Linked DNA regions of Sus scrofa. The protein of the gene in region 1 binds, or shares a complex with, the protein of each later gene. Links are inferred from orthologs where the notes say so. Each region holds a gene or a part of one and is shown in the gene's direction. Other genes may lie near its edges. The genes, in order: MED26, MED13, MED19, MED4, MED8, CCNC and MED21.

Region 1 (3,456 bases):
AATTTAAATGCCACGAAGGCTCCAAATCCTCATAGGTTTTGTGTCTGGGAAGCCAGTGGTTTAGGGCCCAGTGTGAGGTCATTTCAAAGACATGGGGTGCTCCCCGTCATTTCTCACTCAGCTCCCTTTTTCATGAGGTTTCCCTGTCCTATAAGTGTGTCATCATCTCTCTCTGGCTGTAGGAAACTCGACTTGGGAAGCTCATCAACGATGTCCGCAAGAAGACGAAGAATGAGGAGCTTGCCAAGCGGGCCAAGAAGCTGCTGCGGAGCTGGCAGAAGCTCATCGAGCCCGTGCACCAGAATGAGGCCACACTGCGGGGGCTGGCAGGCGCCACTGGCTCAGCCAATGGGGGTGCCCATAACTGTCGGCCAGAGGCAGGGGCAGCTGGCCCACCCAAGAGCATCCACGACCTGAAGAACCGCAACGACATCCAGAGGCTGCCCGGGCAGCGGCTGGACAGGCTGGGTAGCCGCAAGCGCCGGGGAGACCAGCGTGACCTTGGCCACCCTGGGCCACCTCCCAAGGTCTCCAAAGCAAGCCACGACTCCCTGGTACCCAACTTGTCCCCCCTCCCCACTAACGGGATCAGTGGGAGCCCTGAGAGCTTCCCTGGCTCCTTGGACGGCAGTGGGCATGCGGGCCCTGAGGGCAGCCGCTTGGAGCACAGCGAGAATGACAAGCACAGCGGCAAGATCCCCATCAACGCCGTGAGGCCTCACACTAGCTCCCCGGGCCTAGGCAAGCCCCCCGGGCCCTGCTTGCAGACGAAGGCTGTGCTGCTGCAGCAGCTGGACAGGGTGGACGAGACTCCCGGCCCCCCCCACCCCAAGGCACCACCTCGATGCTCTTTCAGTCCCCGGAACTCACGGCACGAGGGCTCCTTTGCCCGGCAACGGAGCCCGTACACATACAAGGGCTCGGTGCCCAGTCCCTCACAGAGGCCCCAGTCGCTTGATGCCACACAGGTGCCATCACCGCTTCCGTTGGCCCAGCCATCCACACCCCCTGTGCGGCGACTGGAGCTGCTGCCCAGTGCAGAGAGCCCGGTGCGCTGGCTAGAACAGCCTGAGGGCCACCAGCGGCTCTCAGGGCCAGGCTGCAAGGCAGGGCTGCCCCCAGCCGAGCCTCTCCTGCCCCGGGCAGGCTTCTCCCCAGACTCCTCCAAGGCAGACAGCGATGCTGCCTCCTCCGGTGGCTCGGACAGCAAAAAGAAGAAGAGGTACCGGCCTCGTGACTACACGGTTAATTTGGACGGGCAAGTGGCCGAGGCGGGCGTCAAACCTGTCCGGTTAAAAGAGCGGAAGCTCACCTTTGACCCCATGACAAGACAGATCAAACCTCTGACCCAGAAAGAGCCAGTGCGGGCCGACAGCCCTGTGCACACAGAGCAGCCCAGGACAGAGCTGGACAAACCCGAGGCCAAGGCCAACCTCCAGAGCCCTTTTGAACAGACGAACTGGAAGGAGCTGTCGCGCAACGAGATCATCCAATCGTACCTGAGCCGGCAGAGCAGCCTGCTCTCATCATCGGGTGCGCAGACCCCAGGGGCTCACCACTTCATGTCCGAGTACCTGAAGCAGGAGGAGAGCACTCGGCGTGGGGCCCGGAAGCCACACGTGCTGGTGCCTCACGGCCCACCCACGGACCTCCCTGGGCTGAGCCGAGAGGTCACACAGGACGATCTGGACAGAATCCAGGCCCACCAGTGGCCAGGGGTGAATGGGTGTCAGGACACACAGGGTAACTGGTATGACTGGACGCAGTGCATATCGCTCGACCCGCACGGCGACGACGGGCGGTTGAACATTCTGCCTTATGTCTGCTTGGACTGACCGTCCCGCGGGCTCTAAGTGCATTCCCACCTTGCAGTTAGCCGTGGAGGGTGGGGCGCCAGGACCCTGCCACCTCCAGTGGTTGGGAATCCAGGGAGTCCGGCCTGGGGCGGGAGGGAGGGGGCGAGAGTCTCTAGGTCTCTCCGTGCTCTTCCCTCAAAATTCTCCTTCTTTTGTGAAATGCTGCTACCAGTTTACTAACAAAATTGCAAAGGAAGGACCGTGTGGAAGGAAGGCCAGCAAAGTGAGTTCAGAACTCTATAGCAAACCAGCTATAAAAAGCGTTAGTTCCCCACCTCAGAAGAGGTGTGGACGCTGCCCAGCCCCCATGAGCTGGGACCTCAGTTGCAGGCAGGCAGAGAAAACCTGTGGAAGAGGTTACCTTTAACACAGCAACAGAAGCACGCATCTCATCTCTTTGCATTTTCTGTTTTTTAATGTGGCCCTGAGTGAGGCAGTGGGCAACACTGCAGCCTCTGTTTGCACCCCACCTGGCCAGCTTTTCCATCGTGGTGCCAGAAGCTTCTCAGCTATAGCAAGCTGCTGGCATCAGTCAGGCCAACTGGCCAGCAGTTTGACCCACACTCCATGGGCATCCACACATTTGTATCTCGTTTCAGTTAAAACCCAGTTTTTAAAGAAATGCTGCAAAATTTAAGTTTTCTAGAGTTTATTTTATCCCCCTTTTCCATCTCACCACCAGATGAGTAACTTTACTTTGTTCCTCCCTCTTCGTTTTCCCCTTCCTGCACAAATCTAGAAAAGTTCACCTTCCTAGAGTCCCTTCCTCCCCAAAAAAAACAAACAAAAAAAAAAAACAAAAAAAAAAACCCACAAAAGTAACCGCGGGTGCTACTGGTGTGTAAGCTGTACTGTTGGGTGAGAGGAGACCTGTCTGTACGCTGGAAACACTCATAACCATTCCTTTAGATTCGTTTGCCTTATGGTTATTTGTCATAAACGCGATTTGCAAAAACAAGGAGCCTTAGTGAATGTACAGTACCTAGACTTCTGTGTTCTCAGGATGCAGAAGGGAGCAACTTTGCTATTTGGTCCAGTAAGTGGACACCTTGTGATATAAATGTGGAAATAAAAGAAAAAAAAAAAAACATTTGCACAAACCAGTCTGAGAATTGTTTTTAATTTGGTCCTTTATAGCCATTATAGTCCTTTCTGGATTAGCCAAGTAGACATGGACCCTGAGTAGCCAGACTGTGGGGAGGAGGGCAGGGCAAAGTTGCCAAGTCAGCCTGTTAGCTTTCCACCTGGAGACTGACCCCTACCTTGCCTTTCATGCTTTCAGGGCCACGATGCTTCTCCCACATCAGGTCACCTCTTAGCTTTGGGTGACAAACTGAAGGGCCACATCTGTCTCCATCTATACCTCACCTTTCTCAGACAGAGAAGCCCCCCCCCCAGCAGGCTCTGCAATTCAAGTTTCAGTGACCTTGTCCTATCCCCTAAAATATTTGTAGTTCTTATACCACATGGTTCAAAACTCTTGTCTGGCTCCAGGCTCCAGGCTGGGCCCTGGCTCCAGGCTGCTAGCTTCCCATGCAGGCCTAGGGCTATCTTAGTATCTGGATGGGGTTGACTTAAACAAAAAAAATTTTTTTTCCCT
Region 2 (3,500 bases), on another chromosome or scaffold:
TCCAATGTGTGGACTTTGGGGTTACTTCGATGCTTTCTGGAAATGGTCCAGACTCTTCCTCCTCATATTAAGAGTACTGTTTCTGTACAGGTAAGAATGATAAATGTTAAGTTAAATTTATATAAAACATTTTAATGTTGACAGAAATTTCAAAGCTACTATTCTGTATCCATATTGATTTTGTAAAAGTTAGGTTCTATTGATTTTTACTTTAAGTGATACTATAATACAGAAATCTTAAAGAGTTTATAAAAGAACCTTGTGATCATACCGCAGTAATAATAGAGAACAAAAAGATTGCTTTGAGTACATTGTATGTTTCTCCGTGTTACTTTTTTAAACTAATTTTTAAATTCATAAGCTTAATTAGGAAAATTAAGAACAGACATGGAGTTCTCTTGTGACTCTGGGTAAGGATCTGGCATTGTCACTGCAGCAGCTTGTGTTGCTGCTGTGGCATAAGTTTGATCTCTGGCGAGGGAAATTCCACATGCCACAGGGGCATGGCCAAAATAAATAGAAAATTAAATTTAAAAAAAGGGACTCACAAGCTAGGGTACTAGATAAGATAGTTTGCAGGAAAAGTAGAGAGAAATTAGCCATATTGTTTGCAGAGAATTTGAATTTTTCTTATAGACCATAATAGTACTAGTCAATGGCAGTATTAAACAGTATAACTACTATGTAGAAATGTTTTAAAGATTTTTATATATTCCATTAGTAAAGTTGACTGTTTATTAAAAATCTATATCATAGGAGTTCCCATTGTGGTTCAGCAGTAACAAACCTGACTAGTATTCATGAGGACACAGGTTTAATCCCTGGCCCCTCTCAATGGGTTAAGGATTCAGTATTGCTGTGAGCTGTGGTATATGTTGCAGATATAGCTTAGATTTGGCATTGCTGTGGCTGTGGCATAGGCTGGCAGCTGCAGCTCTGATTCGACCCCTAACCTGGGAATGTCCATATGCCGCAGGTGTGACCCTAAAAAACAAACAATATCTATATAATAGATAAGAAAATATAATTCATTAGATTATCATCCTAAATTTAGTTTAAATTTCTTTTCTTTTTTCTTTTTTTTTGCCTTTTAGGGCTGCACCTGAGGCATATGGAAGCTCTTAGGATAGGGGTTGAATCGGAGCTACAGCTAGAGCTGCTGGCCTACACCACACACAGCCACAGCAATGCCAGATCCAAGCCATGTTGCAGCCTACACCACAGCTCACAGCAATGCCGGATCCCCGACCCACTGAGCAAAGCCAGAAATTGAACCCGCATCTTCATGGATACTAGTCAGATTTGTTTCTGCTGCACCACAACGGGAACTCCCTAGTTTAAATTTCATACTAAAAGTGTTAGAGTTTTAGACATATAGTTCTTTTAATTCTCTTGTTGAAAGCTTAACATTTGTAATATTTGTTTATAACTCTTCAGATTGTTCCTTGTCAGTACCTGTTGCAACCTGTGAAGCATGAAGATAGACAAATCTATACCCAGCATTTAAAATCCCTAGCTTTTTCGGCCTTTACTCAGTGTCGGAGACCACTTCCAACATCAACCAATGTGAAAACATTGACTGGTTTTGGTCCAGGTTTAGCCATGGAAACTGCTCTTAAAAGTCCTGATGTAAGTATGTTTTCCATGACCAAAGTTATTGAATGACTACATTTTATGTTTTTATGCCAAACTAAATGCAGGTCTCTGTTTAGCTCTCATTTTTCAGTTATCTTACACACACACACTCTCTCTCTGTGTTTGTGTTTGTGTGTGTGTGTGTATCTTCAATAAAATTTTTTTCTATGATTATATAGTGCCATAGTAACTTAATTTTTTATTTTACAGAGACCAGAGTGTATTCGACTTTATACACCTCCTTTTATTCTGGCTCCAGTGAAAGATAAACAGACAGAACTAGGAGAAACATTTGGAGAAGCTGGACAGAAATATAATGTACTTTTTGTGGGCTACTGTTTGTCACATGATCAAAGATGGATTCTTGCATCTTGCACAGATCTATATGGAGAACTTTTAGAAACTTGTATTATTAACATTGATGTCCCAAATAGGTACTTTTATTTCCTTATATGTATCATTTAAAATGTAAAAAAATTCATTTTTAAAGAATAGAAAATGGCTTATGGTGTTCTCTTGTGGCACAGTGGGTTTAAGGATCTGGCGTTGTCACTGTAGCGGCTTGGGTCACTGCTGTTGCACAGGTTCAGTCCCTGACCCAGGAACTTCCATATGCCACGGGTGCAATGAAAAAAAATTATAATAATAATTTGATTAATTTCTATTATGTAGACAAAAAAAGATTAAAGTCCCTAAATTCTATGCTATAAACCTTGAGGTAATGATTTTAGCCTAACAAATTTTGAAACATGAAACTATAAAGTCCTCTGCAAATTAAAATCTAGTAAAGTATTTTCAAATATTTGCTTTCTTATATACCATCAAAAATATAGTCCCTAATGAACAGAATGTCTTGCTTCACTAAAATGTTGGAGTATATTCTGAAAATAGTGGCCTTCTTTGTAGAATTCTTTTTTTTTTTTTTTTGGCCACACTCACGGCATGTGGAAGTTCCTTGGCCACGGATCTAACCTGAGCCATAGCAGTGACCTAAGGCACTGCAGTGACAACGCTAGGTCCATAACCCACTGCACTGTAAGAGAAGTCCATGTAGAATTCTTTTTTGTGTGTGTCTGTAGACATGTTTTTATTTGTCTTGTGTGATAACAGAGAAATTGTTATATCCTATGGGAAGTGCATGACTAATTTTTAAAAAACTGCCAAATTGTCTTCCAAATTGGCTGAACCACTTTGCATTCCTATCAGCAATGAATGACAGATGCTGTTAGCCAATATCTTTACCAGAACTTGGTGTAGAATTCTTCTTGATAGTAGTTAGATATGACCAGTTATTCATGAAGGCTGTAACTGATAGTTCACAACAGGTGAGCCTTATATTAAGTTGTCACTTGGTAGACACTTCTAACAACATATTTCAAGGCTAACAAACACTGCCTAAGGGAACTTGGAAAGTCCATGAAGTAACTTTTAATTTTCAGATTTGGTTCTAGTCTTTATTTTCTTCATTATATGATGTTCTGTTTTTTTAAGTTTAGAAGTTGGTTATATGCAAAAATATTTAATGATTATATTAGATTATAGTGGTGCTGAAGAAACAGTATAGAAACATTGATTTTATGTTACTGGTTATAAAGATTTATTGACTATCTTAGAAACCTTAAGGCAGTATTTCATACCTTATTTCCTTGATATAGTTTTGATTTTTTAAAAAATGGGATAGTTGTGCTAATTAAGTGAGCTCTGGAGAGAGTAATAAGCTTATCTGTGAAGGATGAGAAAGAATTGAAAAAGAATAATACCACCTTTCTAATACAAGACAAATTGCTGTTTTACTGAAAGTAGGAATGAGATGATGGTTAAGACATACAGCTCTCAGAGTTCCCGTTGTGGCGCAGTGGTTAACG
Region 3 (4,137 bases), about 48 Mb from region 1:
CATGAGCTACTTAATAACACTGGGAAAGAACGGCGGAAGTACGAAAAAGTAAACAAGGGAAGGAGAATAAAAGTAAGGAAGTAAGTTCTGTCAAAAGTCAAGACTCATTCTGGGACCTGGAAAAAAAAAAAGACAAAAACTCAGGAAGGCCCTCCTTCCTCGTAACACAGATTCAGCTATACAGAAGGGGGCACAGAACTTCATCTTATTTTTCTGAGTGGTCCTTCCACTTCTACTTAGGAAGTACTGCAAGAGAGTTCAGATTGATTTCTTTACAATGAATTTTTTTTACAATTCCATTTCAATAGGCCTAAAACTTTATTCATTTTTACATTCTCAGGATGCAGCACAGTGCCTAGCATACAGTCCTCCCTCTGCAGTTGTTAACTGAATTAAAATGACTGATGGTGCTGCTGCTTTGGCCAGAAGAGTGGTTTCAAGTCCCAGCCACTCACTAGTTGTGTGACCTTGGACAAGTCTCCTAACTACGCCGAGATCAATTTCTTCATCAGTGAAACGAGATTACTACTACTTGCCTTGTTTACCTCACTGATTCCTCAAGAGGCTTTACATAACGAGAGCAGCACTGTAAAACAGTGCAGATGCCTCGTTTGGGTAGGTACGAATTGTGAGACGGAAAGGACCTTGGACTCAGGAGTCAGAAGACCCCGGCAGGCTAACTCGCTGTATTCCCATCTTAAACGTGAAGAGGTTTACACTCGACGACCGCCCAGGCTCTAGATTCTTAATAGCTTAAGTCCGCTACAGGTTGGGAACCTCAGGTGTTCTCAAACAGGTGAACCTCGCATCTCGTAGATGCAACCTAGGACAGGGTGTCAAGGTCGCGGGGTCCTAAGGCGGGGGGTCGCTCACCCAGTCAAAGTCACACGGGTTGCCGTCTTCGCGTTGCGTGGGGAGATTGTAGCAGACAGGGGGCAGCTTCCTCACGAGTAGGAAGGCAGCAGAGAGGAGGGCTGACAGAAGGTAGTAAGGTCGGGCCAGCCATCGTGATAGTCGAGGTATCGAATAAATAAGAGCAATTAAAGGCGCGAGAACCGCCATCTTCCCGGCTCTAGCGGCGCCAGCCGCTCCACGGAGTCCGTGAGCCTGGTCCCGCCTCTCCCATCATTGTGCTTCCATTGGGCCTAGTCTCGGATGCACCGCCTCTAGATCCGGAAGCAGATCTCTGACTGGCTTCTGCGTCAGGTTAAAAATGGAGAAAGGGCTTTGATATTTTATTGGCTAATCTAGCTGTCTTTTTTTCCACCTAAATCGTTTTATTGGACATATGCGACTGCGGCAAGTAGGAGATACAGGAGAATTTAAATAAAGTTAAATAGTACTTCCGGAACGTTCTCAGAAGGCGACGGAAGTAGTTGCAGGAAGAAGGTAGGAAGGGCCCGAGGCAACCCAATGGTGAGAGGCTCCTGAAAGAGGAGGGCGGTACTCTGTGAAAAGATTGACCAATGAACGTCACCAACGCCAGACACCGAGACAGCGCCGGGGCGGAGGAGGCGATGGAGAATTTCACGGCGCTGTTCGGAGCTCAGGCTGACCCACCACCGCCCCCGACCGCACTTGGCTTCGGACCTGGAAAACCTCCACCCCCACCGCCTCCTCCTCCGGGCGGGGGGCCGGGCCCCGCCCCGCCCTCTACCGCGGCCACAGCCGCTCCCGGCTCCGACAAGTCAGCGGCCGGTTGTGGCCCCTTCTACCTAATGCGGGAACTGCCGGGTGAGTACAAGGCCTGGTCAAAGCCAGCCAATCAGATCATAGCGAGGAGAGGCGGGGCGTGGCTCTCAGCCTTCCGACTGGGGTGAGGGGTAACCTAGGCAACGCGTGGCGCGATTTCGGAACACTATACTAGAAGAGGTTCTGAGGATTCACAACCGAAAGAATGATTGGAATTGGGATGGATTAGGGGTGGGAAGAGAGTGGATCTCCCTGACCACCTTTCACGCCCGATCCTGCCCCTGACGCTGGTTTTTGACTCCCTAAAGATTATCCTAGCTTTGAGTTTGGTATTTGAGGGTCCTGATTTAACATCCCTGCGGACCCAGTTCCAGATCTGCTTCAAACTTCCTGTTGGTTTGGGACATGTTGTCTTTCTTCCTCTGGGCCTCGGGGTTTCAAAATGTGTTCGAAGAAGTGATTAGAATTAAACCAGGTTCTTTCATTCAAAAAATTATTTTGTTGCGCACCCACTCTGTGTACCAAGCACTCTTCCAATTGCTGAAGATACAGCTGTGAACAAAACTGACAAGATCCTTGCCTGTTTGGGAGTTTACCTGCCAGTGGAGGAGTCAAAGAGTGATAAACAGATATCTGCGGATAAACAGATAGTATCAGATAGTGGTTATGGCTACAAGGGGGAAATGTGATAAAGAATTGAGGGGGCAGAACTGCTTTAGCTAGAGTGATCAGGAGAGCCCTTTCTGAGTAGATAACATTAGAGCTAAAATATAAGCACAAAGGAAGAGCTAGCCATTTATGAGTGGGAGGAGAGAGAACTCTAGATACAAAAAATGAGATTAGAAGGCCCAATGTGAGAATAACCTTGAATATTTGAGGGACAGAAAACCACTTGCACTCCGGGGAAGTGAACAGGGAAAGAGCGATAGGAGATGAAGGTGGGAGAGTAGGCAGAGGCCTCTATAAGACATTTTAAGTTCAGGGGGAACCATTTTGACACAAGAGTCTGAAGTGATCTAACTTCTAACTTATTTGCTTATTTTCAATCATTCGAGCAGCTCTATTAAGGAAGCAAAGTGGGGGAGTTCCCGTCATAGCACAGCAGAAATGAATCCGACTAGGAAGCATGAGGTTGTGGGTTTGATCCCTAGCCTCACTCAGTGGGTTAAGGATCCAGTGTTGTCCTGTGCTGTGGTGTAGGTTGCAGACGCAGCACAGCTCTAGCATTGCTGTGGCTCTGGTGTAGGCCGGCACCTGTAGCTCTGATTTGACCCTTAGCCTGGGAACCTCCATATGCCTTGGGTGCTGCCCTTAAAAAAAAAGAAGAAAAGTGGGAAAATTGGTCAGAAGTTACAGCTTAGTAGTTCAGGAAAGAGATGATAGTTTGAACTAGGAAATAGCAGTAGAGGAGAGAAGTAAATGGATGCCAAATAAATGTTAGAGGTAGAACTGACAGGAATGCAGGATTGAAAATAGAATTGAAGGACAGAGGAATTGAGGGCAGTTTGGAAATGTTTGGCTTGAATAATTAGGTGGATGGTAGTGCTAAGATCAGGAAAGGACAGGTTTGAGGAGATGGATATCAAGTCATTTTGGACATGTTAAGTCTCCAGGATGACATTTAGTTCATCCCAAGTCCTACTGCTACATCAAGAGCTGAAGGAGGGGAGTTCCTGTCACGGCTCAGAGGAAACGAATCTGACTGGTATCCATGAGGACACAGGTTCGATCCCTGGCCTTGCTCAATGGGTTAAGGATCCGGCGTTGCTGTGGCTGTGATTGTAGGCCAGTGGCTACAGCTCCCATTCAACCCCTAGCCTAGGAACTTACATATGCCACAAATGCAGCCCTAAGAGAGTAAAGATTTAAAAAAAAAAAAAAAAAGAGCTGAAGAAGGAGTTCCTACTGTGGCCTAGCCAGTTAAGGATCTGGCATTGCCACAGCTGTAGCAATAGGTTGCAGCTTCGGCTTGGATTCGATTCCTGGCCTTAGAACTTCCTTGTACCATGGGTATGGCCCAAAAATATCTGAGGGAAATGATTTGTTACAGACCTTGAAATTCACAGTGCAGTTAGATATGTTTTAGTGTTTAATACTTACAATAGCCCCTTGAAATAGGCATTGTTATCTGCTTTTTAAAGCTGAAAAACTAAAGCATAGAGAGGTTGACTTGACTTTAGTTAGTGATTGATGTCTACCAGCAGTTTATTTAACCTTAACTTATTTTGATTGTACCTATTTACATTAATCACTTGAATATCTGTTCTGGGCAAATCCTGGGTATAAAGGAGACATATGATGAGAAGAGGAGAGAGATGAGTAAGCCTGGTCCTTGTATTTTTTTTTTTTTTTTTTTTTGTCTTTTTTTGCTATTTCTTGGGCGGCTCCCACAGCATATGGAGGTTCCCAGGCCAGGAGTCCAATCGGAGCTGTAGCCAGAGCCAC
Region 4 (2,779 bases), on another chromosome or scaffold:
GACTTCTCAGTAACTAAGCCCTAAACTTAGCTTTTTAAAATGAAACATGCTTTATAAACAGAGTAAGATGTATGTTCAGTTTAAAGAATACCAAGTGAACACTCTTATGAATAACCCTCAAATTAACAAAGTGAATAACAAAGCTTTTTATGGACTTTTTTGTAACTAAATAGAATGTCATTTTTGTGAGACTCATACTGAGCTTCACCCTTCCTCAGGCTTCACATACAGGTTTGTACTGTTGTTATATTTTACGTTCCCTATCTTTCTTTTTTTTTTTGGCGACTTGTTTTATTTTTGACCTGGCAGAATATTTTTAAAGTTTTTTTTAAAACCATGAAAAAATTGCTTTTTTGAGCAATTACTTTTAGTATTTTACATATTTCGTTTATTCCCGTTTTTTGTTTGTTATTTCTTTTAGGGCCACACCTGTGGCATATGGAGTTTCCCAGGGGTCTAGCGGCTGGTCCACACGCACAGATCTGAGCTGTGTCTGTGACCTACACCACAGCTTATGGCAATGCCAGATCCTTAACCTGCTGAGCAAGGCCAGGGAACGAACAAGCAACCTCATGGTTCCTAGTTGGATTCGTTTCCACTGTGCCATGACGGGAACTCCCCCCTGTATTTTTAACGTTGTTATAAATGCTCTAGATAATGCATGACATTTCATTGTAAGGCTGTCCCTCTGTTACTAAAAATGCTTTTTATAAGCACCATTTTTGTTAATTATTCAAGGTGTAAACTGAGAACTCATTGGGCATTAGTTTCCCTTGGAATCACATTTTTCATTGTGACTATACCGTATCATATGACATAAGCCACTCACAATCCAGGCAGGAGGCAGAAACCACACTAGCAATATGAACAAGGAGAATTTAAAGAATTACTGACTAGTAACAATACACTAACTACTGGATGGTAAAGAGAACTGTATTTTTTTGGTCTGTTTTTAGGGCTGCATTTGGAGCATTTAGCAGCATATGGAGGTTCCCAGGCTAGGGGTTGAATCTGAGCTGTAGCTGCTGGCCTATACCACAGCCGTACCAGATCTGAGCTGAGTCTGCGACCTACACCACAGCTCACAGCAACACTGAATCCTTAACCCACTGAGTGAGGCCAGGGATTGAACCTGTATCCTCATGGATACTAGTCAGATTCGTTTTCTCTGGGCCATGACGGGAACTCCAAGAACTGTATTTTTCAAATGCAGTAATAATAGATACAGGGCCCCTTTTTTAGTATAGTACATATATTAGCTGTTTATATCACGAGGGAATATATGGAGAGTAGTATATATGACCTATTATATGTGCTTAAATATATACAGACATATGAAATATTTGGAAATTGTGAATGTCTTGTAAAAGGAAAATTAATGGCAGTTGACTATGAATAGTGGCTATAGTAAAGTGTGATTTAAAAAAAAATAAACAGATTGTGGTTACTAAAACATCACATTTTTCCTTGATATATTTGATCTTTCATTAATTTGGTCAAATGTGTATTTAGACTTCAGCCTTAAAAATTTACTTCATTTTATTTGCATGAAGGAAAGAGTAACTAAGAAGTAAATTGAGTTGAAATGTTCTCACATGGGCTTTCTTTTCTTCAGATGTTCTTGCCCCCCAGTATCCGTGGCAGTCAAATGATATGGCAATGAATATGTTACCACCAAATCACAGTAATGACTTTTTGTTGGAGCCTCCAGGGCACAATAAAGAAAATGAAGATGACGTAGAGGTCATGTCAACAGACTCCTCAAGCAGTAGCAGTGACTCTGATTAAAGAAAATGTGACAAAAAAAGCATACAGAATTGAATATTATAGAAATCGGCTTCTTAAACAGCAGCAAACCTTTAAAAGCCAGGTGATACTGTAGTGAAAGTGTGCCATCGTTAAAAATTATTGTGGACTTTTTGAAGCCAAAAATCATGGTTTCGTTTCTGAACCACTAGGGGAATAGAGAAAAACAAAATTTACCGTTGGAATAAAAAGATTAGTCAGTTCAGTGCCATCTTAGTTGGAGTTGTACATAGTAGTTCTGGAAATAAGATTTGAGGGACATGACCCATGTACATCACTAATAGACCTCTTGTTATTATGAAAAGCGTAAACAAAAGGCAGTAGATCGCTGAAAATGCAACATAGCTCAGAGTAACAGAAAACTCATTTGAAAGTGAAGGCTGTTAGCTTTTGTCACAGGAGAACTTGCCTCAATTTGTACTGTTTGTAATTACTGTATTTTTTGTAAATAAATACACTTGTTTGGAATTTTACCACTGTATCTCAAATCAAATTGTTGTGTACATGCTTACCTGGTTATCTGTACATCTTTATAACCACTCATCCAAAACCCTTGGGTCTCAATGTTTCCTAGAATTTGGGTTTTAAAAAATACTCTGGGAGTTCCTGTTGTGGCTCAGTGGAAAGGAATCTAACTAGGAACTATGAAGTTGCGGGTTTGATCCCTGGCTTCATTCAGTGGGTTAAGCATCTGGTGGTGTTGTGAGTTGTGGTGTAGGTTGCAGTTGCAGCTCAGATCTGACATTGCTGTGGTATAGGCCAATGGCTACAGCTCTGATTAGACCCATAGCTGGGAACTTCCACATGCAGCCCTAAAAAGCAAAAAAAAAAAAAAACTCTGGAAAGTTAACAGGAGATATATATATCGTATGTTATATAATGAAGAGTCATCTTATAAATTAAGCACATTTAACTTTCATATTCAGGTATATTTCACATACACATTATTTTTTTTTCCTGTCTGCTCTGGCAT
Region 5 (4,084 bases), on another chromosome or scaffold:
ACCATCCTGTGGCAACTGTACTGCTTATACTGGAAACATTATGACCACCATACTACAGCAGACCACCTGTTTGGGAGTCTTAGCTCCGCTACTTAACTAGCTGTGTAACTTTGTTACCCTTAACATTTTGTGCCTCCGTCTCCTCAACTGAAAAATGGGGATAAATAATCACGTCTGCTTCTTCGGGTTGAGGGTATCAACTGATGGGGTAAAGCAGGACGACGCGGCACGCATTCGATATGTTATGACAACTCTTTTGTGTCATTTCATTTCACACGTCTCTCACCCTTCCCGTCTATCATATTCTAATACTGGGCACCTTTCCTGGTGATGTTCTTTTCAAACCAGATCTTCTAACTTCAAAACTTTGCTACTCCCTGGCTGAGGGTAGCACTTGGGTAAGGTACTTAACGTCTCTCACTTTCCAGTGTCTTACATATAAATGAAAGTGGACACAGCCACCTTCCTTGCACAAGTCTGAATAACACAATGCAGATCAAGTTCCTTGCATGGTCCTCAACAACTAAGGGATACCTCATGTGCATTTTCTGGTTTAAAATATGGGATCCTCACAAAACACCCTAAGACAGGTGTTTAAGAAGCAGGAAACAGTCAAGCCTTGCCCGAAGTTGCAGAGATGGCTACAGGGCAGCACCAAACGAAGTGAACGACGTTTCACTCCGAATCAAAAAAGAATCTATATATGTATTTTCCCCACGAAACCGAAGCTGCCTTTCAAAATCATGGCGCTGGAACTAAATTAATTCATGCTGATTATGTCATTCTAATACGTGAAGATATGAAGCACCAGCAAAGTAAAATCAAATTGCAAAATCAAAATAAAGGCTTTGTTAATACCATTAGGAAGTCGGAGAACCCGAGGGCCCCAGAGTTGGCGACGTGAATGAAATCTGAGCAAACAGAACAGAGCGACGAGCTTCTCCTCCAGCCCCCCAAGGAAAGTGCGGACCGCGGGGTGAGGAGATGCAACTGCCGGGCCTTCGGGGCGACCCCCGCCGCCCCCAGACCCGGAGGAGGCCACGGCCGCACCCGGCCGCCGGCCCCTCCCCCGCGGATCTCGGGGACCAGCGCTGCGCCCGCCCGCCCCTCACCTCCGGCTCCGGGCGCTCCGAGGCCATCACACAGCCCTCCCGCGCCGGCCCGGGCCAGAGAAGCCCTTCTGCTCGTGACCCCTGACCCGGCTGCCTCTCGCCCGAAGGAACCGGAAACGAATGGGAGGATCGAATCCCAACTTTCTGATTGGCTGACTTGGAAACCGGAAAAGGAAGTGGTTGACGCAACCTCTGCTCCCGCGATGCAGGTGAGGACCGGGTTGGCGCTCGTGACCGCTACTCAGCGTCGGGGTACCGGGACGGAGAGTGGGCTGGAGAAAGTGAGGAGCTGGAGCTGAGAGGAGTGGGTAGAGTCATCGGCCGACGGCTAAAGGGACGCGGGATGGAGGCGAGGCCCACTGGAGAGGGAGCGGCACTGATGACAGATGGGGGTGGAGCCCGGCTGGGAGACCGAGACGGCCCCTGAGTTGGGAGGGGGAAGGCGGCACCGACTTGCTGGGGGTGGGAAAGGGTCGGTCGTTTGGGAAGGTTAAGATGCAGTCCAACGAAGACAGCTCAAGAAGGTGCCGCATTGGCTCAGGTCCCGGCCCGGGCTGTTGAATGGCCGCTGTTGGCTGCCGACACAGCAGAGGATCGATAACTGGAGAGAAGCCCGAGAGTGGAAGGAATTGTGGGGCCGCAGTGACAAAAGCCAAACTAATATAGTCTGAGGCCAGTGGCTGGAACCCGGAATCAAGGCTACTGTCTTGTATATTGGCGAGTTCGCAAGGCAGTTCTACCTCCTTCCTAGCCTGTGCCCTGTGGTAGTTAAGGATGAAATGAAGTAAAGATGAAGAACCAAGATGGACAGGAAATGCTTGGCAGACAACCCCTCACCAGCATTTAAAATAGTTTAGTACTTAGGGGCATGTGCATTTTTGTTTTTGTTTTTCATTTGTCAGTTTCTTGCACCTGGTAGTCTGTCAGTAAATTTTTATAGCTTGACTAAGCTTGTGAAAGGGGCACAGGAATTTTGGCACAGAGATAAAATGAGTGCAGGTTAATGGAGTTCCTGTCGTGGCTCAGTGGTTAACGAATCCAACTAGGAACCATGAGATTGCGAGTTCGATTCCTGGCCTCGCTCAGTGGGTTAAGGATCCGGCGTTGCCATGAGCTGTGGTGTAGGTTGCAGATGAGTCTCGGATCTGGCGTTGCTGTGGCTCTGGCGCAGGCCAGTGGCTACAGCTCCTATTAGACCCCTAGCCTGGGAACCTCCATATGCCACAGGAGCAGCCCTAGAAAAGGCAAAAAGACCAAAAAAAAAAAAAAAAAAAAAAAAGAGTGCCGGTTAATTCAGCAAAGAGCTTGAAACAGCAAATGCTGAGGACAGAGGAAAGGGGGAAATGGCCGTGGTGGTGGCAGTGGCAGGTGTTCAAAGGAACCTTCACATGTAGGTAGATTTTTCAGAAATTGTGTCATTGGCAGGAACAGCCAGGCTCCCAAGGCAGGTTTAGGACAGCAGAAGTCAGAGTACCTATGCTGCAGAGTGGCACAAGAGATAATGACCCCGAGGCATTAGGTCTGCTGTGTCTGCTCAGTGAGTGAGAGTATAGTGTATGTGATAGGAAACCAAGCACGGATTAGGGGTGATGAGAGAAAGGAACCAGCAGGTAGGAGGAATTAGGCCAGGCGAGTGGGTTGAAAGGTCTGAGGGTTGGTGCTGTCTATAACCCTGATACCAAAGATAGAAAACAGCCTGGCTCTCCCTGTGCCAGTGAGATCCTGTGTCACATGACTGGTGTTGCGCACTGTCATCCTGGCTTTTCAGCCCGCCTCTGTGGGCACCACCCTCACCCTCATCTGAGTAACATCCTATTCCTGTTGGTGCAGAGGGAGGAGAAGCAGCTTGAGGCATCATTAGATGCACTCCTGAGTCAAGTGGCTGATCTGAAGAACTCACTGGGGAGTTTCATTTACAAGTTGGAGAACGAGTATGACCGGCTGACCTGGTAAGCAATGCCAGGGCAAGCTGGGGAGGGCTCCATGGGTGGGGGGGGCCAGGTCACCAGGTGGATAGGACATTGCCAGTGATGTAAACATTTATCAGTTTGCAAACATCTTTTGATTTAAAAAGAGCTGAGTTTCCCAACGTGTAACACTGAAGTTGGCTTTGGGCCTCCCTGGTAAGGAAGCAGAGAAATGCCCAGTTTTCCAACTCAGGGTCTTTCTAGCTTTTGATTCTCACCCTCTGATGTCTCTGGGAGGAGGTCCTCCCACTTCAGTATTCATATGGGATCTCTTGCCTTGGACGTGGCTGAGTCTTTTAGGTCCAGTCTACTTTGAAAATGTAGATCCTATATTTAGGTCGGAAAGGAGGCTTTTAGCTAGTTTCTGAAGTTTGAGTGATAACAGTGGAGCTATGGTTCCTGTTTTGCCGCTGTTCTCACCCCAGTCAAATACAGCAGCCCCCCTTTATTGGTGGGGGATAAGTTTTAAGACCCCCACTGGGTGCCTCAAACTGATAGTATCAAACCCTGTACTGCATATACTACTAACTGGATGGGTATTGTACCAGCAAAGATAGGCTGGGCAAAGCAATGATTAACATCCCAGCTGGGACAGAGCAGGATGAAGCCAGAATCCATCACACTACTCAGAACAGTGCCCAATTTAAAATTATAAATGGAGTTCCCGTCGTGGCGCAGTGGATAACGAATCCGACTAGGAACCATGAGGTTGTGGGTTCGGTCCCTGCCCTTGCTCCGTGGGTTAACGATCCGGCGTTGCCGTGAGCTGTGGTGTAGGTTGCAGACGCGGCTCAGATCCCGAGTTGCTGTGGCTCTGGTGATGGCCGGTGGCTACAGCTCCGATTGGACCCCTAGCCTGGGAAGCTCCATATGCCGCGGGAGCGGCCCAAAGAAATAGCAAAAAGACAAAAATAAAATAAAATAAAATTATAAACTGTTTACCTCTGGAATTTGCCATATGGTATTTTTGGACTGTGGTTGACCACAGGTAGATGGAACCTCAGC
Region 6 (3,948 bases), on another chromosome or scaffold:
GTAGAAACAAAGTGTAATACGGGCACACAGAAAAAAACATCTAACAATGCAAATTTGTTACAGTATTTCTGAAAGATATTAGGATGACCAAACAAACAAACAAAAAACACCTTAGGGAGTTGAAGAAATTCTGAACCTCTGTTGTTAAGTAGCATAAGGGCTGGTATTTCTTCAGTTCCCATGTTTTAAACTTTTTTTTTTTTTTTTTTTGGTCTTTTTTTAGGGCTGCATCCATGGCATATGGAAGTTCCCAGGCTGGGGTCAAATCAGAGCTGCAGCTGCTGGCCCATGCCACAGCCACAGCAATGCTAGCTCTGAGCTGCATCTGCGCCTACACCACAGCTCACAGCAACGCTGGATCCTTAACCAACTGAGCAAGGCCAGGGATCAAACTTGCATCCTCATGGATACTAGTCTGGTTCGTCGGTAACCCACTGAGCCACAACGGGAACTCCCATATTTATTTTTTGTAAGATTCACCTGTAGAAGACCCTTGTAATTCAAAGCCCCCTTGCTTAAAGATCCACTGAAGTTGAAAGATGGAAATATGCTAGATCCTTCAAGATCGGAGGACATCCACTAATGGGTGCTTTCTTCTTCTTCTTTTTTTTTAATGGGTGCTTTCTAACCTACATCACTTTATGGGAATGAAGTGCGACATAAAATACTAAGCTACTAAAATTCATTTCAGGAGTTCCCATAATGAACCCGACTAGTATCTGTGAGGATTCTGGTTCAATCCCTGGCCTCACTCAGTGGGATAAGTATCCAGCATTGCTATGAGCTGCGGTGTAGGTCGCAGATGTGGCTCAGACCTAGCATTTCTGTGGCTATGGCTGAGGCCCGCAGCTACAGCTCCCATTCCACCCCTGGCCTGGGAACCTCTATACGCCTGGGGTGCAGCCCTAAAAAAAAAAAAAAAATATATATATATATATATATATATATATATATATATATATATTTCATTTCACATCCTGACCAAGTACACATATACATATGTAACTGAATCAAAAATTATAAATGCCCTTGATATTTCTGATATACCTGATATTTTTATCTAGGAAAATGCATATCATATTCAATTTCACCACAACCTAACTGTGTGAAAAATACTGTCTTGAGCTTCCTCGGAACACTGATCATCCGTGAAAAACTTTATTCGTGTGTGTCCAATGATTCAATTAGCAGCTTTACAATAAATGCAATGTTACAAAGATAAAAGAAATTGCGTAAAATTAAATGATTGTTTTGGTTGTATGTTTCTATTTGGTACACACACAAACACACAAAGCTGTCAGTCTCTGGCATTAAAAAAAAAACGTACTGCTGCTCTAAAAGTTTGTGCTTCCCTCCAAAAGAACTCCATTAACTACATATCTGGCTTGGTGCAGCTCGGTTTTGGTAGGTCCTTGAGGCTACAATAATCTTTCTCTTGCCAAAAGCAAGAAAAGGAACTGAAGTCAGGAAATCTTATACTTCACTACAAAGCCACCGCACTGCTTTGGAAGTCTGCTCCGAACTGGGGTGGGGAGCAGCGTCTTCCCCTTTTCCATGCCCTTCCCGCAAAGAGCAGCGACTGCAGAATACCGAGCCGCCCGAGTTCTAGGCCGGAACCCACTGATTCTAAGCCGGAACCGGCGCGAAACTCTCGCGAGAGGCTCCCGACCGCCGCGAGCCGCGAGCCTTCCAGTTACCGTCGCCTATCTCAGCGCGCCCAAAGACTGTCTCCTTCCCGCCAGCCTCTTCCACTGTCGCGGGGCAGGCCGGAACCTTTATCCATAGGAACGGGTTTACAAAGTAGAGTGTTGCCGGCCGGCGGCAAAGAGAATAGGGTGCCATCCTCTTCCTCTCACCGTCGCCGCCGCGGAGCGAGCCCAGCAGATTAGATCGAGGAGCGCGGTTACCGGTTGGGCTGGGTCTATGGTCGCTCTGTGGGCCGCTCCACCGGCTGGTGCTTTTTTATCAGGGCAAGCTGTGTTCCATGGCAGGGAACTTTTGGCAGAGCTCCCATTAGTAAGTGATCTTACGTCTTCTCGTCCAGGGCGGGCTCTTGTTGGGGGGCGGTGTGGACCGGGCCTGCGACTCTCCTTGGCCTGGATCCCTGTCCCAAGTTCGGTGGAGTCTCCCGGGAGGTGGCGGCAGCCGGAAGCGAGGTGCGCTTTTCTCTGGCGACTCTCCTCATTCCGCCCCCTGGCCGGGTTTCGCGGGGGGGGGGGGGGTCCTGTCTCCGGAGAAAGAAGGTTCGAGAGTTTAATTTCGGATTCTTGGATTAGCTCGGCGGAGGCGGGGTGGAGGGGGTGTGGGTGGAGGAACCAGGCCGGCGGCAGTTGGGATGGGGTAGGCAAAGGTTTTGCAAGTGTGGCACAGTTCGGAACTATGAGACTGGCTCTTGAGGACTGTTGTTCCCTTTTGCCTGGTATCTCTTCAGTGGATTGGCATCGTAATCTTTTGTCATTCTGCTCACTAACCGCTTCCTGCCACTACCTTAAGCCTAGGTGGAGTTTTATGTTTGTAAGGTATAGGGCAAATGCTCTCAGAACTTATTTGCGCCTCATGTTCTGTTTAATAAGTGTATTTTCCAGTGACTTTGCCAATATCTTTAACCTTTTTTTCGTGAGTTTTTGTGTCTGTCAGTACCATGGAAGAATTAGAGTAATATTGAAAACAGTTCTCCCTAAATAAGTTTTTTTAAGCATGTACGAAAGAGGATGATGGGATTAATTGAACATTGGCTAGACTTTGCATTGTGTAGTTGAAAAATGAACAGATCTGATAAAGATGATATGGTGCAAATAATTTTTAATGCCAGGAGAGCATTAGTAACTAAATTTTAAGTTTGAAGAAGATGGATTTCTATGTTGTTCCTTCCGTCTTTTAGCCGTTTGACCTAGAAAAAAGAAACAATGGGCTTTGATATCTATTTTCAGAAAAGCAGGCTTTCTTCCTATAAAGTGATTACGTGAAGATGAGATGGTATAGAAAGAAGCTTTATTTCTGATCACATTTTTATTTTGCACTGTTTTCACTCACTGAAATAATTTGGACAAAATTAAAATACGGAAAATTTAGATAGTGAGGAAGAGGCGTTCTGATAAGCTTTGAAAAAAACTGAGAGAATTGACAGGTCACTAGCTGTTGATTATCAGAAGTTCACAGACCTTAAAAAAAAAGATCCTACCTCCTTTTGATAAGCATTCTCACTCTGTTTTCATTCGCTGTTGGTCTATCAAAAGGGTGCCAAGATCCATTTTATAAAACCAATTGTATTTTCACCTTTCAAATATAACATTATTATAATATTAAATGTGCTTTTTTGAAACTGTTTTTGCCTGCCAGTTCCATTAGTCCTGGAGGACTCAAACCCTTGAAAATCCGGGATCCCTGATCTGCAAAAGATAACAAGTGTAAAGGACAAAACAACCAGTTCAGGAAGAACAAAGAGATATGAAAGCTATTGTTGATATTGTTGTTGATTTTGGTGAGGGAGGAAAATTGACATGATATACACTATTTTTCATGGCTTCAAATTACCCATTTTAATATTTTTGCAATCAGCATAACAATTTTTTTCTTAGTAGCACATGAAATAATAGTGAAATCTTACAATTAGCATAATATCAAATTTGATGATATGTGATGTTTCTTGGTTTATCTTCCATACTGCATGCTGTGAGGAAAAACTTTAAAATATTTGCCTGTGATACTTATCTGTTTAAAAATATATAATGACTGTGGAAAAGAAATTAATGATAATTCTGAAACAGAACAAATCAAAGTATTTTCTGGAAAGTTAAGGTAGAACATAACACCTTCTTTGACCATGATGTGGTAAAACTAGAAGGACACTAAATATTTGCTGGTTGACTGAATGAAGTAATGAACAAGTAATAAAAATTAAAACTACAAAACCAACTCTGGATACTTTATTATATCAAAGAAGAAATT
Region 7 (3,473 bases), on another chromosome or scaffold:
GGTTTCAGTAAGGGTTTGTTATTCTTGACCTTTAGAACTTTTAGAGCACTAGAAGTTTATAGCTTGAGTCCTGGAGAAAAAAATTTTGTTTTGTTGTTTTGGTCTTTTTTATTTAGGGCTGTACCAGCAGCATACAGAAGTTCCCGGGCTAGGGGTCAAATTGGAGCTGTAGCTGCCGGCTTATACCATAGCACAGCCACAGCCACTCTAGGTCTGAGTTGCATCTGCCGCCTGCACCACAGCTCGTGGCAACACTGGATCCTTAACCCACTGAGTGAGGTCAGGGGTTGAACCTGCATACTCATGGATACTAGTCAGGTTCATTACTGCTGAGCCACAATAAGAACTCCCAAGAAAAACATTTTGGAATACTTAAGGTGTGGTCTTTCTCCCACCATTTCTTTATAGTTGTAATTACTCTGGTTTCAGAAAAGGAATCATATGCCTTGGAGTCAAATTTTAAAATTTACCCTGGGGTAAATTTTAGATATTTGCCTGTCAGATTTGCTTTTTTCTACCACTGTTGCGCTAAAAGTCTTAACTTGTGCTTGCAATCAGTATTGGCATATATTTCTGTTATCATTCTGTTATCTCGGGAAGAAAAATAATTATTTTGTGTTTCTCTTTAACTGTTGCAACTAAATAAATGCCAAAGGAAGTTTCTTTGCATGATTAAAATATTTCGTTGTTAGTAACTGGCTTAATCCAGGATTTATCATATTTTATTCTCTTGCTCAGTGATCATTATAGAAACATCATCAATGCCAATAAAATCCTGAAAGCTGATAAATCCTTTCTAATTTTGCCACATTTCTTTTGGCCTGTAGCTTGCAGATCAGTTTTGTAATGCCATTGGAGTGTTGCAGCAGTGTGGTCCTCCTGCCTCTTTCAGTAATATTCAGACAACCATTAACAAAGATCAGCCAGCTAATCCTACAGAAGGTAAATAGATTTTTTTTTTTTTTTGGCTTCTTTTAATTTGACTCTCCCTCATTGCCTTTAATCCCATAAAATTAGATTTATTGAAAAATTCATCTTATTCACGGCTTTCTAAAAATGTTATTGTTAGAGAATGTTACTACAAGTTTGTCATAAAAGAAATAAATTTTTGTTAGTTTATATAACACCTCGTAGTTCTTTTTATGTTAAATAATGGATTTTTTACTCCTTTAGAGGAGAATTATATGAATTTAGCTGAATTTTACTTCAGGGACCTTAATAAGAAAGGCATCTCATAAATTCCTTTATTCAAATGATCATCAAATTGTCCTGATACATAATGTACATTATGCTTGATTCCTAACTTGAGTTAATGTTAAAGCTGATTCTCAAACATGTAATAGGATTAATGTGTTAAAATTACACCTTAATCATTAGAAGCCTAGGACAGAAAAAGTTAAGAAGTTTTTTTGTTTCATTAACTTAAAATTTGATTGCTGTTTCTATAAACTTGAGGTTCTCAAATACCCTAAATGAGTACAATCTTTCTCTAGAATATGCCCAGCTATTTGCAGCGCTGATTGCACGAACGGCAAAAGACATTGATGTTTTGATAGATTCCTTACCCAGTGAAGAATCTACAGCTGCTTTACAGGTAAAAATCTCTTTTTCTGGAGTTCCCCGTTGTGGCTCAGAAGTAGTGAACCTAACTAGTATCCATGAGGATTCGGGTTCAGTCCTTAGCCTAACTCAGTGGGTTAAGGATCTGGCATTGTGGTGAGCTGTGTGTTGGTCGCAGATTCGGCTTGGATCCTGTGTTGCTGTGGCTGTGGTGTAGGCTGGAAGCTGCAGCTCTGATTTGACTACTAGCCTGGGAGCTTCCATATGGTTCAGATGCATTTGAATTAAAGGAGATAGCTTTAGTACCCTTTTTCCTTTTTTAAAGAAATTTTTTTTTTTTTTTAATTTTTGGCTGTGCCTATGCCATGTAAAAGTTCCCAGGCCAGGGATTAAACCTGTTCCACAGCAGTGACCTGGCCTGCTACAGTGAGATCTGTATCCCACTGTGCCACAAGAGAACCCCTTTAATTCCTTTTATTATAATATTAAAAGGTACTCTCAATTTTAAAATGGGAATTTTATTGGAAACTACTGTAGTCTATTAAAGACTGCACTGAATATGTATAGTTGTCCAATTTTGAGTTATGAGGAAACTTCCCATTTTCCTCAGTTTGATTCTTTTCCTTGGAAAGAGTGAGAGGAAGGTAGCATTCCGGACGTGGAATAGAGCATAGTGTCTAAAAGCAGTGTGGAAAGGAGTCTCCTATAGCAATCTAGAGAGCTCTCATTGAAAAGTCATCTTTTAAATAGTTCATACAGGGAAAATTCTCAAGTTATATCTGATCTGAGGATTTATGCCACTGAAAAATCTATCACAGTGGTTGCACAGTCATCCAGATTTAGAAGTAGGTACTTCCACTGCAGTTTATTTCCTTAGAAGGAAATAATCTCCAAGTTTTTCATTTGTCAAAAGATTCTTAAATTTATGTCTTATAAAGGCTGCCAGCTTGTATAAGCTAGAAGAAGAAAATCATGAAGCTGCTACATGTCTGGAGGATGTTGTTTATCGAGGGGATATGCTTCTGGAAAAGATACAGAGTGCCCTTGCTGATATTGCGCAGTCACAGCTGAAGACAAGAAGTGGTACCCACAGCCAGTCTCTTCCAGACTCATAGCACCAGTGTACATATCATGTGGCCAAGAAGAGAACTATTTCAGTGCCGTTAAGAATTCTACATCAGATTTAGATGTAAGCCTTATCGATAGTTAGAGAAACATTAAGCACTATGACACGTTATCTTTTTAGCTATTTTTAATAGTCTTCTATTTTCATTTTTAATAAATAAGCTTGTAAAATTGTGATTGAACCAGCTTTAAACTGTCATTATGCTATTATTTTGTATTTTGAGTGAAATTATTGAGGCAGATATTGCACTTACAGTCAGAATATAATTAAACAGATGTACTATAGAATTCTATTGTGACATAATTTGTCTTTATTTTTGTCCTGTTTCTACAGCCTGTACAAGTGAAAACATCCCCCAAGCTAGAGAAGAAGATGGTAAATGCAGAAATGGTGGATATTTGAATTTAGGTTGATATCCTTCTGCCTCTTTAAAAGTGACATTGTAGAGTTCTGGTGCAGTGGATCGGGGATCTAGTGTTGTCACTGCAGTGGCTTGTGTCACTGCTGTGGCAAGGGTTCAGTCCCTGGCCCTGGAACTTCTGCATGCCACGGGCACAGCCAAAAAGAAAAAAATAAAATAAAGGTGACATTGTATAAATTTGGAGCTGGAGCAAGGAATGGTTCTGAAAACCACATTGCTTTTTAAGAAGCAGAGAGTGTGGCCAGATGAAAGATTAAGTCACTTTTGTGGAAGCTTTTTCTTCTTTTTCTTTCTTTCTTTTTTTTTTTTTTTTTTTTTGGTCTTTTTGCCATTTCTTGGGCTGCTCCTGCGGCATATGGAGGTTCC

The links.
Region 2: MED26 (region 1) and MED13 share a complex: the UniProt entries of both Homo sapiens proteins name them as parts of the mediator complex. The link is inferred for Sus scrofa from reciprocal best matches to the Homo sapiens genes MED26 and MED13.
Region 3: MED26 (region 1) and MED19 share a complex: the UniProt entries of both Homo sapiens proteins name them as parts of the mediator complex. The link is inferred for Sus scrofa from reciprocal best matches to the Homo sapiens genes MED26 and MED19.
Region 4: MED26 (region 1) and MED4 share a complex: the UniProt entries of both Homo sapiens proteins name them as parts of the mediator complex. The link is inferred for Sus scrofa from reciprocal best matches to the Homo sapiens genes MED26 and MED4.
Region 5: MED26 (region 1) and MED8 share a complex: the UniProt entries of both Homo sapiens proteins name them as parts of the mediator complex. The link is inferred for Sus scrofa from reciprocal best matches to the Homo sapiens genes MED26 and MED8.
Region 6: MED26 (region 1) and CCNC share a complex: the UniProt entries of both Homo sapiens proteins name them as parts of the mediator complex. The link is inferred for Sus scrofa from reciprocal best matches to the Homo sapiens genes MED26 and CCNC.
Region 7: the proteins of MED26 (region 1) and MED21 are in contact, whole or in part, in a cryo-EM structure (PDB 7EMF), measured with the Homo sapiens proteins. The link is inferred for Sus scrofa from reciprocal best matches to the Homo sapiens genes MED26 and MED21. Residues at the interface, in NP_004822.2 of Homo sapiens: Ser481, Arg482, Asn483, Glu484, Ile485, Ser488, Tyr489, Ser491, Arg492, Ser495, Leu496, Ser498, Ser499, Ser500, Leu528, His529, Ser535, Pro537, Thr538, Asp539, Leu540, Pro541, Gln549, Asp551, Leu552, Ile555, Gln556, Trp560, Gly562, Val563; in NP_004255.2 of Homo sapiens: Ala2, Asp3, Arg4, Leu5, Gln7, Asp10, Ser14, Gln18, Asn21, Gly24, Val25, Gln28, Cys29, Tyr54, Leu57, Phe58, Leu61, Arg64, Thr65, Lys67, Asp68, Val71, Leu72, Asp74, Ser75, Leu76, Pro77, Ser78, Glu79, Glu80.

What each region holds. Positions count from the first base shown.
Region 1 is NC_010444.4:61,032,706-61,036,161, forward strand, and holds the end of MED26 (mediator of RNA polymerase II transcription subunit 26), read left to right. Parts: intron 1-182; coding exon 183-1,835; 3' UTR 1,836-2,956; downstream 2,957-3,456. UniProt on the Homo sapiens protein: Component of the Mediator complex, a coactivator involved in the regulated transcription of nearly all RNA polymerase II-dependent genes.
Region 2 is NC_010454.4:36,413,741-36,417,240, forward strand, and holds part of MED13 (mediator of RNA polymerase II transcription subunit 13), read left to right. Parts: coding exon 1-90; intron 91-1,437; coding exon 1,438-1,629; intron 1,630-1,845; coding exon 1,846-2,069; intron 2,070-3,500. UniProt on the Homo sapiens protein: Component of the Mediator complex, a coactivator involved in the regulated transcription of nearly all RNA polymerase II-dependent genes.
Region 3 is NC_010444.4:13,239,974-13,244,110, forward strand, and holds the start of MED19 (mediator of RNA polymerase II transcription subunit 19), read left to right. Parts: upstream 1-1,337; 5' UTR 1,338-1,466; coding exon 1,467-1,734; intron 1,735-4,137. Other genes in the region: TMX2 (thioredoxin-related transmembrane protein 2), read right to left, coding at 874-1,062. UniProt on the Homo sapiens protein: Component of the Mediator complex, a coactivator involved in the regulated transcription of nearly all RNA polymerase II-dependent genes.
Region 4 is NC_010453.5:19,564,637-19,567,415, forward strand, and holds the end of MED4 (mediator of RNA polymerase II transcription subunit 4), read left to right. Parts: intron 1-1,615; coding exon 1,616-1,788; 3' UTR 1,789-2,279; downstream 2,280-2,779. UniProt on the Homo sapiens protein: Component of the Mediator complex, a coactivator involved in the regulated transcription of nearly all RNA polymerase II-dependent genes.
Region 5 is NC_010448.4:167,860,079-167,864,162, forward strand, and holds the start of MED8 (mediator of RNA polymerase II transcription subunit 8), read left to right. Parts: upstream 1-1,284; 5' UTR 1,285-1,315; coding exon 1,316-1,393; exon of another isoform or gene 1,394-1,455; coding exon of another isoform or gene 1,456-1,461; intron 1,462-2,942; coding exon 2,943-3,061; intron 3,062-4,084. Other genes in the region: protein SZT2, read right to left, coding at 1,113-1,139. UniProt on the Homo sapiens protein: Component of the Mediator complex, a coactivator involved in the regulated transcription of nearly all RNA polymerase II-dependent genes.
Region 6 is NC_010443.5:66,496,955-66,500,902, reverse strand, and holds the start of CCNC (cyclin-C), read left to right. Parts: upstream 1-1,148; 5' UTR 1,149-1,923; coding exon 1,924-2,156; intron 2,157-3,948. UniProt on the Homo sapiens protein: Component of the Mediator complex, a coactivator involved in regulated gene transcription of nearly all RNA polymerase II-dependent genes.
Region 7 is NC_010447.5:46,729,909-46,733,381, reverse strand, and holds the end of MED21 (mediator of RNA polymerase II transcription subunit 21), read left to right. Parts: intron 1-827; coding exon 828-942; intron 943-1,493; coding exon 1,494-1,594; intron 1,595-2,498; coding exon 2,499-2,675; 3' UTR 2,676-2,973; downstream 2,974-3,473. UniProt on the Homo sapiens protein: Component of the Mediator complex, a coactivator involved in the regulated transcription of nearly all RNA polymerase II-dependent genes.